2 linked regions of the Bombyx mori genome follow. The protein of the gene in region 1 interacts with the protein of each later gene in a biochemical or structural test. Links are inferred from orthologs where the notes say so. Each region holds a gene or a part of one and is shown on either strand. Other genes may lie near its edges.

Region 1 (6,653 bases):
TTGTCTGAAGTTGATGTTTTGATTAAATTGTTTATGTAATCTTTTTTTAATATTCTATTGACATGCTTAATTTTAGCCTAATCATTGAAACTGAAGTGCATGATATAAATATGTATAATCTAGCTCTCATATGATCTAAATTTCTGTTTTATATAAGTTAGATTTAAGCTGAGAGAAAATTAAATTATGAAAGTATTTAAGCCCTTTCAAACCATTAAAACACAATAAATTATAAGTTATGGGCTTCACCTACATTATCGACCAAATTAGACTGAAGAAATTGATAAAAATGGAATGGGAATTACTGGCATTGTGTCAATTTGGATATAGATAATAAGTACGTTAAAAAAATTGCATACAATACCATTTGTTGCAAAAATCATCTTTTTAACCATGTTTGGTCTTTTGTCTCACTTTTAAAAATCATCTTTCACCAGATTACTGGCCTGCAATAAATAAATACCTTATATAACAAATATTTACTATCATCCAAGAGTAAAATCCATTGATTACAATAACATCTTCAGTAGGTATATATATACAAGGAGGTACCATAAAACTTAAAAAAAGACTATGAAAACCTAAAAGTTGATGTTAACAAAATTAACTGGAATTTCGAAAGGGCGTTATGTGAATATCATAAAACAATTAAATTAGATAAAACCTTTGAGTTCAGAGAGTATTTTTCTACAATATTTTTAAATCTAAAATGAGCAATGCACTTATATCAATGAAGTGTTTGGTTGATGCATCATGGTGTATGTGCCAGATATGTTGAAGAGAATTTTAGTTAATAATTTTATTATATTATGTAAGTCATTAAGTTTAAGTAATTTACAACTTGGTCTGTTGATATATATTATATAATCCTATTAAGACTTTATTTCTGGGATTGTAAAATAAAAATTAATAATAGTATTTGTTTTTTTTTGTTTATGATAAACTTTTATATTTGCGTATCAGAACTAATGTCTATATTCCAAATTTAACCTTGACCATAAATGGTTCAGTCTGACATTTTTCCCTAATTCCCTAATTTTTCATGTTAATGCTTAATATTTTTATTGCATAGACTGGTGGACGAGTTGACAGGCCACCTAGTGTGAAGTGGTTACTGGAGCTCATAGACCATCTACAACGTAAATGTCATCACCCACCTTGAAATATAAGTTCCAAGGTCTCGGTAGTTACAACGGCCGCCTCACCCTTCAAACCGAAACGCATTGCTGCTTCACGGCAAAAATGGGCAGGGTGGTGGTACCTACAAGTGCGGACTCAAGAGGTCCGACCACTAGTAATTACGCAAATAATAATTTTGCGGGTTTGATTTTTATTACCCGATGTTATTCCTTCACCGTGGAAGTCAATCGTGAACATTTGTTAAGTACGTATTTCATTAAAAAAATTGGTACCCGCCTGTGGGAATCAAACAATCGCATCGCTCGACACCAATGCACCGCACGTTTTATCTCTTGGGCCACGACGACTTCAAGAGCTCAGTGATTAGTGAAGTCCATTGGCATCAACAACACAAAAGCAAATGTTAGATGCCCTTGGTCTGTTAAAAGTCAGAAGCATGTGGAGTAAAATTTTTGTGTTTACCTTCCATCGCCTCGAATGAAATCCAGTTCCTCGAGAGCTTTGAAAATAATTTTCAACGATAGACATCGGCTTATGCTTCTGACATTGTTCATGTCATTGAGCAACTGACTACACACTATAAGATGAATTATAGGTAGATGAAATATTGGCTGTTAAAAATACGAAACATCAAATAAGGTAAAGAAAAAACAGACTTTTTTTTTAATATTTAATAAATTAAAACTCATGCTTGCATGCGGTTATGTACATCAGTCGAACCGTTAACTTGTTTGCTGCTCTAAAAACTGTTGTAACAATGCATTATTGATTGGTATCATTAAGTTTTCACTGCCGTCAAGAGTTCTCTTCATTTTAACGAGTTTGTGGTCTAAGAATTCTGTCAACTGTGCTCTGAGAGCTAAGTCAGAGCTGACCAAAAATTGTTCACGGCATTTTGAATAGAGATCCTTAAATGGTAGTCCTGCAAACAAAATTTCAGAGTTACAGGTGTTCACATTAGACCATAACCCTTATTTTACTAGGTTATCTTTCACTAAGCTGTATATTCTCCAGATAGAACATATCGCTTAGGTAACGGAAACGTTTCAAGAGTAGGACGCTCAGTAAGACCGGTGTGACGGTTATTTTATATTGTCGCGTATAATATTTATTGAAATAGTTTCATCAAGATTTTTATGACGACATAAATAAGTAATGACATTACATTAATTAAACTAGTAGTAGCAGCAGCGTATACTAACGTACTAGTGTGACGTATGCTATTGAAAAAAAACGAAATGGTTTAACTCCTCGTATTACTATTGGAATAATTCAAACCGCTTTTAATCAAATTCCATCACGTAATTTTTTTAACTATAGTCGTATTTTCAGTCAGTTCTTGTTTTTTTTTTATTGCTTAGATAGGTGGACGAGCTCACAGCCCACCTGGTGTTAAGTGTGTTAAGGTCTCAATATAGTTACAAAGGCTTTTTTTTTTTTTTTTTTTTTTCGGGCCGGGGGCCGAACCTCCTACGAGGTCCCCGCGCCTAGGGGGCGCGCGGGGTATGTGAGACTCAACGATCTGCAGGTGTTGAGAGCAGATCGCGGGCCCAAGGATTTTAGGGCCCACCCACTAAACGACTCCCCTGCACTCTTACACCCGACGTCCGATCTCCGTCCGGGGTCAGAACCCGTTCAGAGTAGGGGGGTTCCCGCGGTCAACACTACAACCAGACACGCGGCGCCACCCCGAGGACGCCCGACCGACGGGTCGTCGAGGCGATAGTCGACGACCAACGACGTCGGTCTCCGCGGTACGGCGGCCCTACCAGGCCGCCCGGGCGGTGCCGCTGGTGTTCCGGGATACCCCGCTGGGCCAGAACCAGCCTGCCGGGTCGGAACGCGATACACCGCCGACCGGGTTGCTCTTCAACAGTATGTTCGGCGACGACAGCGACGACGAAAATGCGGACCGCATCGCAGTCCGCAGCCGCCGACGCGCCGTCCCGTCCTCCTGGTGCCAGCGCGCTAGAGTGACGGTAGCGTGCGGCGCAGCCTCAGCCCCCTTAGGTCGCCCCGTGACCATCACCGGGAGGAGACTGCCTCCTCATAGGGGCTGGAGCTGGACAAACGCCCTCCTCCGAACCCCGGCTCGACGGCGGCGGCACGGCGCCGAGAGGGAAGAAGAGCTCTCCCTCTCCCGTTCCGCCGCCTCCTTCCGCGAGATGGTGGACTCGCAGAAGTCGAGCATCGCCTGCCAGGACTCGTCGCTGCCGAGCATCGTAGCCACGACGGTCGGAAGCGACAAGTCCGGTCCTATTTTTGCAACGAGGACGCGGCGCTGCTCCGCGAAAGCGGTGCAGTACGCGAGCGTGTGCTCCACCGTGTCCTCGTTGCAGCCACTGCAGTGGTGGCACTTCGGCGTCGGCTCCCTCCGGGCGACGAGGTGCAGGTAGCGACCGAAACAGCCGTGTCCCGTGAGCACCTGTGTCGCTCGGAAGGTGAGACGTCCTCGGTCGCGATAGTTACAAAGGCTGCCCCATCCTTCAAACCGAAACGCATAACTGGTTCACGGCAGAAATAGGCAGGGCGGTGGTACCTAACCGTGCAGACTCACAAGTGGTCCTACCACCAAATAGTCAAATTGTCAAAACAAATACGATATACTATTTTTTTTATTTTCATATTTTATCTTAATTGTTTTGTTGGTTCTTATCCAATGGTCTTGCCTTTTCTTGCTACTGCCATTTATATCATGTCGTGACACATCACGTCAGAAATGGCACTTTAGCGGAAAGCCTATTTTTGTTTTATATAATAATACATAGTCATAAATAGTATTTACAAGGCTTACCTTGATAATGGGCTTGCTTTTGATTTGCTAATTGATGTTCAATAAGGATAGTGAAAATCCCTTTTGAATTCGATGTTAATGACTGATAAACGCTCCTGAGTGATGATAATTGTAGGGCGCCACTTTTGTGTGTCATTATAGAATTCTCGAAGGAAGTTTCTTCAGTATAAGGAACAAACGAAGTTACATCCCACCATGAAAAGTTGTATTTACTCAATTTAGAATAGTCCCATACTGAAAATTGAATTATTCTGCTTAATTAATCGTTTACGTGGTGTAGCGCTTTTTATATAACTTCAACGCTTGCGACGAAGGGCTCGGCGAGTATATTAGCCCACAGACACGGCCCACTCGCCGGATCTTCTCAGTGGTTTGCGTTTCCGATCTGATAGCAGATTCTGCGAAGCACAGCTCTTGCTAGGGTTAGTGTTAGTAACGTCGTCAGGTTAGAGCCCCGTGAGCTCACCTACTAGACCGGTGACAATGATATGGCCTCTCTAGATCATCAGCGTAGGTAGGAAAAAAACAAATAACTTCAAAAACTAAATTAAGTTTTTAGATTAATAATCACTTGCAAAAGTTAACTTAAATGCATATTTTAATCAAGTACTTTCTCATGCTAAAATTGAGCGTTTAAGAAAAAAAAGTAAGGTACTTACGTAACGGGGCATTAATATGATCGATCGTTGCAATGGTGTGCACATTCTTTATCTGAGATAGACTAGCCAAAGTAACTTGTGATTTAGAATTTCTTAACATAGGTCCATCGATGTTGTTTACTATCAGAAATAGGTCCACGCCATTTTCTGACAGCTGACTGTCAATCAATTTTACAACGCTGCCAATATTGGACGGTACAGTTGTATTCCCTAGTAGATCTACGACGATGCTTTCTAGGATATCCTTAATGGTGAGACTCGGAAAGAATCCATTTACCATTATACACGGAAACTTGTTCAACTTCTCAGCTTGAAACTGTTGGAGCAAAGTTCGTTTCGATCCTATGCCGTATAAAATAATACTAAAGTTTTCACTTAGTTCATACAGCCATCTGTCAAAGAGCTGTCGATGGTTATAGTTGAGCTCTGCTATTTTTTTCCTGTGTTCTGTTGATATATGTACAGTATCTGGAGAATTATCTTGAATATTCATGTTTTTCAATCTAGCAAGAGTGTGATCTGATGTGGCTATCTGTAATATTATAAATTTCTTTATTTAGACAATATCAAAGTAAGTTCAAATGAAAATCAATTAAAAATTGAGCTCGAATAAAAATAAAGCATCAACATGAAATCAATACAATATTGTATGCTGATAATTCAATAATTCAATTGGTATGAAGAAATAAACATACTAACTTTTTTACTAGAATTCATCATAAAATAGTTGTCAGGTTTTACGATGTATTCTGAATCCTTAATTTTCATTTTATTGTTCCTGTTTCTGGTGATTTGTGTTTTAACTGAATCTTTCCTCTGAGGTTTCTCATCTTCTACTGATGTTGATGATGATGATGAAGAATCAGATTGCTGCAGAAAATATTTTTATTAAAATAGTATATAGTATTTTCTTTGACATTCGAGAGTTGTAATCATTTAAAATGGTAATGGTTACAGTTTAATCACATGTTAAATAACACCTCAGTTGTCTGATGACCATGAAAACTCAAAGAAAGAAAAAGTTTTTCAGTCATTCTATCCTAAACAATAAGACGCCCAGTATATTTGTATCGGGTGGTGCTAAGTAGTAAGCAGGTACCAATTATCTAATGATATATGTATGTACAAACTTAACCCATGGCCATGATGAAGGAATAGCATCATACAATAACAGTCAAACAATAACAATTTACAATCTTTGTTTTTATTAATATGCAATTGAGGCATAGAACTCAAGGATCTGAGGATAAAAAATCCTGGCGTAGAGGAATTATAAGAGCTGGCCCAATTTAAAGTGGGAAAAGGAGTACAAAACTTCAGTACTATCAGTTTACCTCCTCATTTTCACTCTCATCTGGAACAAAATCACTGCTGCTTCCAGAAAAATCACCAGAACTATCACTGTCTACTTCCTGAATGATTCCTGAAAGAGATGTATGTAGTATGTAGATAACATTTGAGTGTACTCCAGTATATTGAGTATTTCAACAAATTTACTAAGAAAAAAAACTACCGGCTCATTACAATTTATGATCATTCTTAATTTGGGCCAACTGTTACAAAATCTTTGAGACTTCAACCTCATGTCAGGTCATTGGCATTGGTGTGTAGGTGGTCTCTTGTTACCAGACAATTACCAAACAGGCTCAAGCCATATAATACAAAAAAGGAAAACTCTGTCCTAACGTTAGTACTCCCAAAATTGCAGTACTTAATATGAATATAATAAACATCCTAGTGTTCATTTTATTCCTAGAGAACTGTATAACAAATATTATTTATTTCAACTTCTAATGTATTTGTTTTAACTTGCTTTTATACACGTATTTATGTTAAGAACTAAATTCTATTTTGAAATGATCATATGAATATCTATAACCCAATAAAACCAATTATTAACTGAAATGTTCAATTTTAAAAGTTGGAAGTTTTAAAAATTAATCAATATTAAGCTTTACCCCTATTTCTAGGACTTGCTGTGTATCTTTAAATTATTAAACTCAAAAATATTACTATAGTACTATTATATTGATGGGTGAAATCCACTTAAACCAAATGTT
Region 2 (6,791 bases), on another chromosome or scaffold:
TCCATCCCGTGCTTCATGGCTATCACCAGAGACAACTCTAGTATAGATAGCGACTGCAACACTTTGACTCTGTGCTCCGGAGCCACTGCGTTGTCTATGGCCGTTGTTAGATCTATGACGTTTATATTCGGTTTCGTCGGAGACAGTTTACTGATTGTTTCAAACTGAAAATTCAATTTACACAATTAATGTCACTGACTGGTGGTTTACTAGTGGTAGGACCTCTTGTGAGTCCGCACGGGTAGGTACCACCACCCTGCCTATTTCGACCGTGAAGCAGTAATGCGTTTCGGTTTGAAGGGTGGGGCAGCCGTTGTAACTATACTGAGACCTTAGAACTCATATCTCAAGGTAGATGGCGGCGTTTACATTGTAGATGTCTATAGGCTCCGGTAACCACTTAACACCAGGTGGGCTGTGAGCTCGTCTACCCATCGAGTTTGTATCAACAAGTTATCCCTGATTGAGGCCGTAGGCCAAGTCATCCTCGTGTTGTTAAAATAATCCTTTGCACTTCCAACAATTAAGTACAGGAAAAAATATACAATAAAGTTCGAACTTACCAAAACATTCCTAAAAGTTTGCTCATCAACGGTATAGTAACATAGCTTCTCTAAAGCGTCAATGACTTTTTCGTTTTCAATCAAACTTCTGATATGGGCATTCCAGTCGCTCACAAAGGCTCGGTCCATCGTAGACAAACATTGCTCGTCGAGTTTCCCTTTTAATATATGTTCTGGTATTGCAAAGACTGTGGATGTGCAGGCCGTTTCATCAGTTTTGGCTGAAAAAATGTTACTAAATTAATTTATTTATCGATACATCAATCATTGGACATCCACTGCTGGATATAGACCTCCTTTAAGGATATTTACATTGCTACAGAATAATTTAAAATATTAAGGAAATCGTATTCTATAAAACAAAAGTGACTAGACCTGTGAAATTTGTTTGTCTCATTCATAAATTCATTCGCTCGTTCATTAATTTTACAGTCGTCGTGGCCTAAAGGATAAGACGTCCGGTGCATTCGTATCGAGCGATGCACCGGTGTTCGAATCCCGCAGGCGGGTACCAATTTTTCTAATGAAATACGTACTCAACAAATGTTCTCGATCGACTTCCACGGTGAAGAGTGAAGGAATAACATCGTGCAATAAAAATTAAAGCCGCAAAATTATAATTTGCGTAATTACTGGTGGTAGGACTCCTTGTGGGTCCGCGCGAGTAGGTAGCACCGCCCTGCCTATTTCTGCCGTGAAGCAGTAATGCGTTTCGGTTTGAAGGGCGGAGCAGCTGTTGTAACTAAACTTGAGACCTTAGAACTTATATCTCAAGGTGGGTGGCGCATTTACATCGTAGATGTATATGGGCTCCAATAACCACTTAACACCAGGAGGGCTCTGAGCTCGTCCACCCAAATAAACAATAAAAAAATAAAAAGTCATTATTAATCATTATTATTATTATTAATTAATTCATCTTTCCTTCTATACAGAAAAAAAAAAACTAGGTATCTAATAACAATGTGTAAGCAAAACTTATTATCTACTTTACAAATATTAGATTTCCGGCCACTGCTTCTCCGGCGACAAAGCATGAGGCGGCATGTGCGGACACGCATTCAATGCAGTGGGATGAAATATAATCTAGTATAGAATATCACGTAAGCAATTATATTAGCTCACCGATGGACTTCCTTGATTTTCTTTTCTTCCTCGGCGACACAGAACCCTCCAGGGGCAGACTCAGCAATTCCACAAACAATCTCTTTCTCCCTTCCAGAGGCGAGATAATATCATACCGGTCATCATCATTGACTTCATTAGGAAATATGAATATGTGACGATGGGAAAAACGGGATTTGACCCTTTTTTCAAACAACTCCATAATGTCTAAGCGATTTGTTACACCTGTGCACAGTAAGGAAGCATGATATTTAATGAAATGAAGATTTAACATCTTCGAGCAAGGATTTCTCCTGTGTTAATGGTAATGGAAAGACACATAGAAACAAGTAGGCATCAAATACCAAATATATTTAAGACTAGCTAGGCATTATTATTATTTCTCACCCCCAGAAAGATTCTCGTCATTAACGCCCCCGCAACTGGTGTAGGAAGTTTTTTTTATTTTTTTTATTTATTGCTTAGATGGGTGGACGAGCTCACAGCCACCTGGTGTTAAGTGGTTACTGGAGCCCATAGACGTCTATAACGTAAATGCGCCACCCACCTTGAGATAAGTTCTAAGGTCTCAGTATAGTTACAACGGCTGCCCCACCCTTCAAACCGAAACGCATTACTGCTTCACGGCAGAAATAGGCAGGGTGGTGGTACCTACCCGTGCGGACTCACAAGAGGTCCTACCACCAGTAAGTCCAACACTCATATAAATATTAGCCTATCCATTAAGTACATGTATTTTCTACATGGATACCAATTTTCATGTCAATCGAACGCATGGTTCAGTAGTTATAATGGAACATCCGTAAAAACCACTGTAGATTTATATATTAGTATAGATGTGTGATAGTATGAAGTGAAGATACATTATTAATTTTAAAACGTGACAAGCAGATTAAGTCGCATTTTAATGCCTATGATGGATAACCTACACAACATGTATTAAAGGATAAGCAAGGACTGTAGCAATGTTAATGCCATCACCACAGTGATGCCAAAGGCCAGTCTCAATCGTATATTATAACATATTCTGAGAAAAACAACAAAAACAATCTCAGCGAACTTACCGATAACACACATAGGAGCCGTCTGTGAATGAGTTACGTCAAATAAGTTATACAGTAATGTCTGGGAGATACCGCTGTGGCAAAACATGTCACACTGGTCTAGAATGAATACCATGCTTCGACATCGTCTGTCAACACCAGTCTGGATGCAGCTTAACAAAAACGAGAGGTTCTCGGCAAAGGTACCGAAAACTCGTTCACCCACAGTATTTTCTAATTGCATCTGTAAAGAATAGTGTAGGTGAGTCCATCTTAGTTGGTGAGGCTTCAATTTAATTCAGATTAGTTAAGCCTGCCTTTAATTATACTGTGGTTAAGACACCAGTAGTCAAGCTTCAAAAGTGGCCAAGGTTTTGCCATTGTGTTGTCCCCCTACCAAGACCTTGGCTACAGATTTTTTTCTCATATCCAATGCATTAGTGAAGAGTCAACCACCATGTTTATCATATTATTACAGTCTAGTCCAGTGTTTCCCAACCTTTTTTGTGCCATGCCCCACTGTAACATTTTTAAATTTTTTATGCCCCCCATACATAATTTTAGCATAATAAAATAATTTCAATACAATTTTCTTTATTGATTTAATGCAATTGCCCTTCTTAATTATCAAATTGCCAACTTGTAGGCTATGGGCACCACGTTGGGAAACACTGGTCTAGTCTATTACACACAATGGTCTTTAGTTAAGTACAATTCACTATCCTATTCAGAACAAAATATAATAGAAAAACCTTTCCTGCTATACAGGAATACAATTGAACAAACATTAATAGAATTCTTTTTGACATTTTTATTAGATTCATAAAAAGGCCTCAATCACCTGCGCTGTGATAGCTTTAAGGGCCAGTTTATCATCACTATGTACAAGGCCATTCAGTTGAATTATAATAGCATCATTCTCCAAATCTGTCTCTCTAGAGAGCTGGTGAAGTACCGAGTTTAGTAGCTGAAATGAAATGTTTTACCATTATTGAAAGGTCACAACAGATAACATTTTCTGTACAGAGGCCCTTGCTTCACCTTATATTAAATTGTAACTAGAAAGTGAGAGAGAGAGAATATACTTTATATGCACACCAAAACACAATTAACAATAGAAAACAGTCAACAAGCAGATCCATTTGTACAAATCTTATCATCTCATCATCAAGAGATCTCTTCCAGACAGCCACTTAACTATACAGAAATTCTGGAAAAGATAAAGATATAGCAGGTATGTTGCTATGTACTACTAGCAATACATTATTAAAGAAAATATAAAGAAAATAATAAAAGTGATGGGATCTGAACAAAAATATCATTCATGGGTCAGGTAGAATTCAGAATTGTATTGTTTGACAATCATCCTAGCTTCCACGCTGGAATGCACTGCTACTTCATAAAAAATAGGCAGAATCCAACATACCTACCCAAATAGACTGACAGTAAACCATACCACTCTTAAATCTTGCTGCATTATATATACCTATCTATCACATATGTATCTGTCACATGAAGAGCTGAGAGCGGCCACAATCACCTATATTGTGCTAAGCTGGTGGACATAAAACAATTTAAAAATATTGTAAATTAAATCCGCGAATTGTATATTGAAGCACAAGAACTTACAGTGGTTTTTCCACTACTTCTCGGCCCTATAAGTAAAGCCGAATGCGATTCTCCTTGTAAGACAGTTCTTCTTAATAATTCGTACACATGATTTCTTTCCTGGTCGTGCCCCCGAAACAATACATTGTCTTCTATTAATTTCAATTTTATGTACTTCCTTACAAGTTTTATTTGAATAGCCAACGGGTCTGTATCCATTGATCCACGCATTTTCTCAGACAATGTTATTTATGATTATTTTGTGAAGTGTTTTAGCTTTATACATCGAAGCATAAAATTATTTAATAAATATTTAAAATGAGTTCAAAAAGAAATTTTCGCGGCATAAAATGTCATCCCAAGAAACATCAAACAGCATGACAGTTGACACTGTCAATTAGAGATGTCCTTCAATAATCACCATAGATTATACACTTAATATATTTGAGATTACTGATTGTTCACCATAGTCTACTAAGTATTACGGAGGTAAAGATATTTCTACCCTCCATACTAAGTATGTCAACTACACATTTTGAGATTAAATCGTATTCACCCGTTTTGTCTACTTTGCTCCTAGTTTATAAATGTGCATAAAGCTGAGTTTACAAGTAAATATGGCTTTTATGATGTATCGAAAAGAAACTTTGAAAATAAATTGGCATGTTTCGTTCTGTTTAAATAAAATAGATAATAGCGTCAATTTTAAGTCTTGTACGTTGCAAGTACTCAGTGACTCTTTTAAATGAAAGAAAAGTGTTTGTAACTCAGGAGTATGCACGTTAATTTTTAAAGTAGATGATACTTCTTAAAATGTCTATGGCATGAAAGTAAAAGAGCGCATGCTCGTGAAATCTAATCAATAGACTAAATGAAACATATGATAACAAGAAAATCGAGATATAGCTCCGAATTTCTTCTAACAAATAGTTACATTTTTAGTTCACACCCTTAAGAATTAAAAACTTATAACGTGAAATATTTATTGAACTTAAGTATTTAAGCACTTTATAGTAGTTACAAGTATTCTTCATATGAATATAGGAGAACGTGTGAACTTGAACCGATCAAAGAAATATTTGTATTCATATCCCTGGATTTAATTCTCGTGTACATTGCCTAAAACTTCGTATTGTCCCGTTCTCGCATTTTGACGATTTCTAAAAATAAATCTTTAGTCCTCGTCATGACCTTAAATTCCACGGTTTTTGTGTACCCGTTCATATTATTGAAAATTGGGACAATCTGGAAATTAATTCAATTTGTTTCTTAAGAAGTTGATCGTAAAAAATTATACTTAAAAAGTGAACAAACCAAAGTTTTTCAAAATTTTATTTCGTATTCGTTCGTTTATTAACTATAAAAATTGCACCGTGGATTGTAGCTGAACACCCAACCATTTATGGAAAAAAGTGAAAATATTTTCGAAAAACAATGTGAATATCAGAATTATAGATGCAGCGTCGTGCGTTTTCCGAAATGAGAGTTTTTAATTAGTGCAGCAGGTTTCAACCACTTAAATTCATTTAGCAAATTCGCACAAGACACGAGCCCTAAATAATCACAATGTAATTTGTATTATAAATTATTATGTTATAGTGCAGCAGCAATTTGGCACAGCTTTGAATTTTATAAAAAAAGAAGTACCTAAATAGAGGAAGTCAATATTGCTTTAAGCTTAAAAATTGTAAGTTATAGTATTTAAGCTTAACGCCAGAATCATTAATATGATTACATTTTCATCATAGCACCAAAATATGCACAAAGTTTACCTTCAGACATGAATTCTCATACCCGCATTCATTCAAGGCCACTATTCAAAGTCAATGCCGCAATTTCACAGCAAACCGGTGTTTAGTGAATCGATACGTTACTCTTTTAGCTTAATATAAATTGATGTCTCACTCAGATCAGTAAGTGAAATAGTATTATATTATTAGGAAATTTAGCTATTGGACAACACTATCGATCCAAACTTAGAAAATATTTTGAAGATGGTTTGAGGCACGCAATGAACAGATTATTTGTGTATCTACCTGTTCAGAGATAGTTTTTTGATTTAACTGACAATATCTTTTTCTTTGTCTTTCTTGATGTTTATTCATAGATGATCCAACAGACACAAAATAAGTGTCATTTGTATAGATTTTATTCACAAAGAACTTGAGTTTAGAGAGCCTTATCACGATGGTCTTTTAAAAATAGTTTTACAAAAGTGTTTGTTGATCGATTGTATTAGACTAAAAGATTTGAAACTTAGAGACACAGATCACTGCTTTGTCGTGTGTGCCGATTTTCAAGCTCCTGTACTAATTAATTATTCAGCCAGGATATTTTCAGTTTTCTATTTCAAAGTAAGTATAGCAGATAGGTGGCGTATTATTTCAATTTTCATTATGTTGTAAGATTACAACACCGTTGTTAAGCATAGCATTGGCAGGTCTGAATTGTT

Evidence for each region.
Region 2: the proteins of origin recognition complex subunit 2 (region 1) and origin recognition complex subunit 4 form a complex in vitro, tested with the Drosophila melanogaster proteins (3 studies listed by BioGRID, with this or other methods). The link is inferred for Bombyx mori from reciprocal best matches to the Drosophila melanogaster genes Orc2 and Orc4.

The regions. Positions count from the first base shown.
Region 1 is NC_085115.1:9,007,202-9,013,854, forward strand, and holds the end of origin recognition complex subunit 2, read right to left. Parts: intron 6,017-6,653; coding exon 5,928-6,016; intron 5,464-5,927; coding exon 5,293-5,463; intron 5,126-5,292; coding exon 4,594-5,125; intron 4,169-4,593; coding exon 3,935-4,168; intron 2,063-3,934; coding exon 1,863-2,062; 3' UTR 1,781-1,862; downstream 1-1,780. UniProt on the Drosophila melanogaster protein: Component of the origin recognition complex (ORC) that binds origins of replication. DNA-binding is ATP-dependent, however specific DNA sequences that define origins of replication have not been identified so far.
Region 2 is NC_085108.1:2,849,638-2,856,428, forward strand, and holds the start of origin recognition complex subunit 4, read right to left. Parts: upstream 4,717-6,791; 5' UTR 4,571-4,716; coding exon 4,361-4,570; intron 3,699-4,360; coding exon 3,573-3,698; intron 2,976-3,572; coding exon 2,753-2,975; intron 1,914-2,752; coding exon 1,689-1,913; intron 785-1,688; coding exon 564-784; intron 165-563; coding exon 1-164.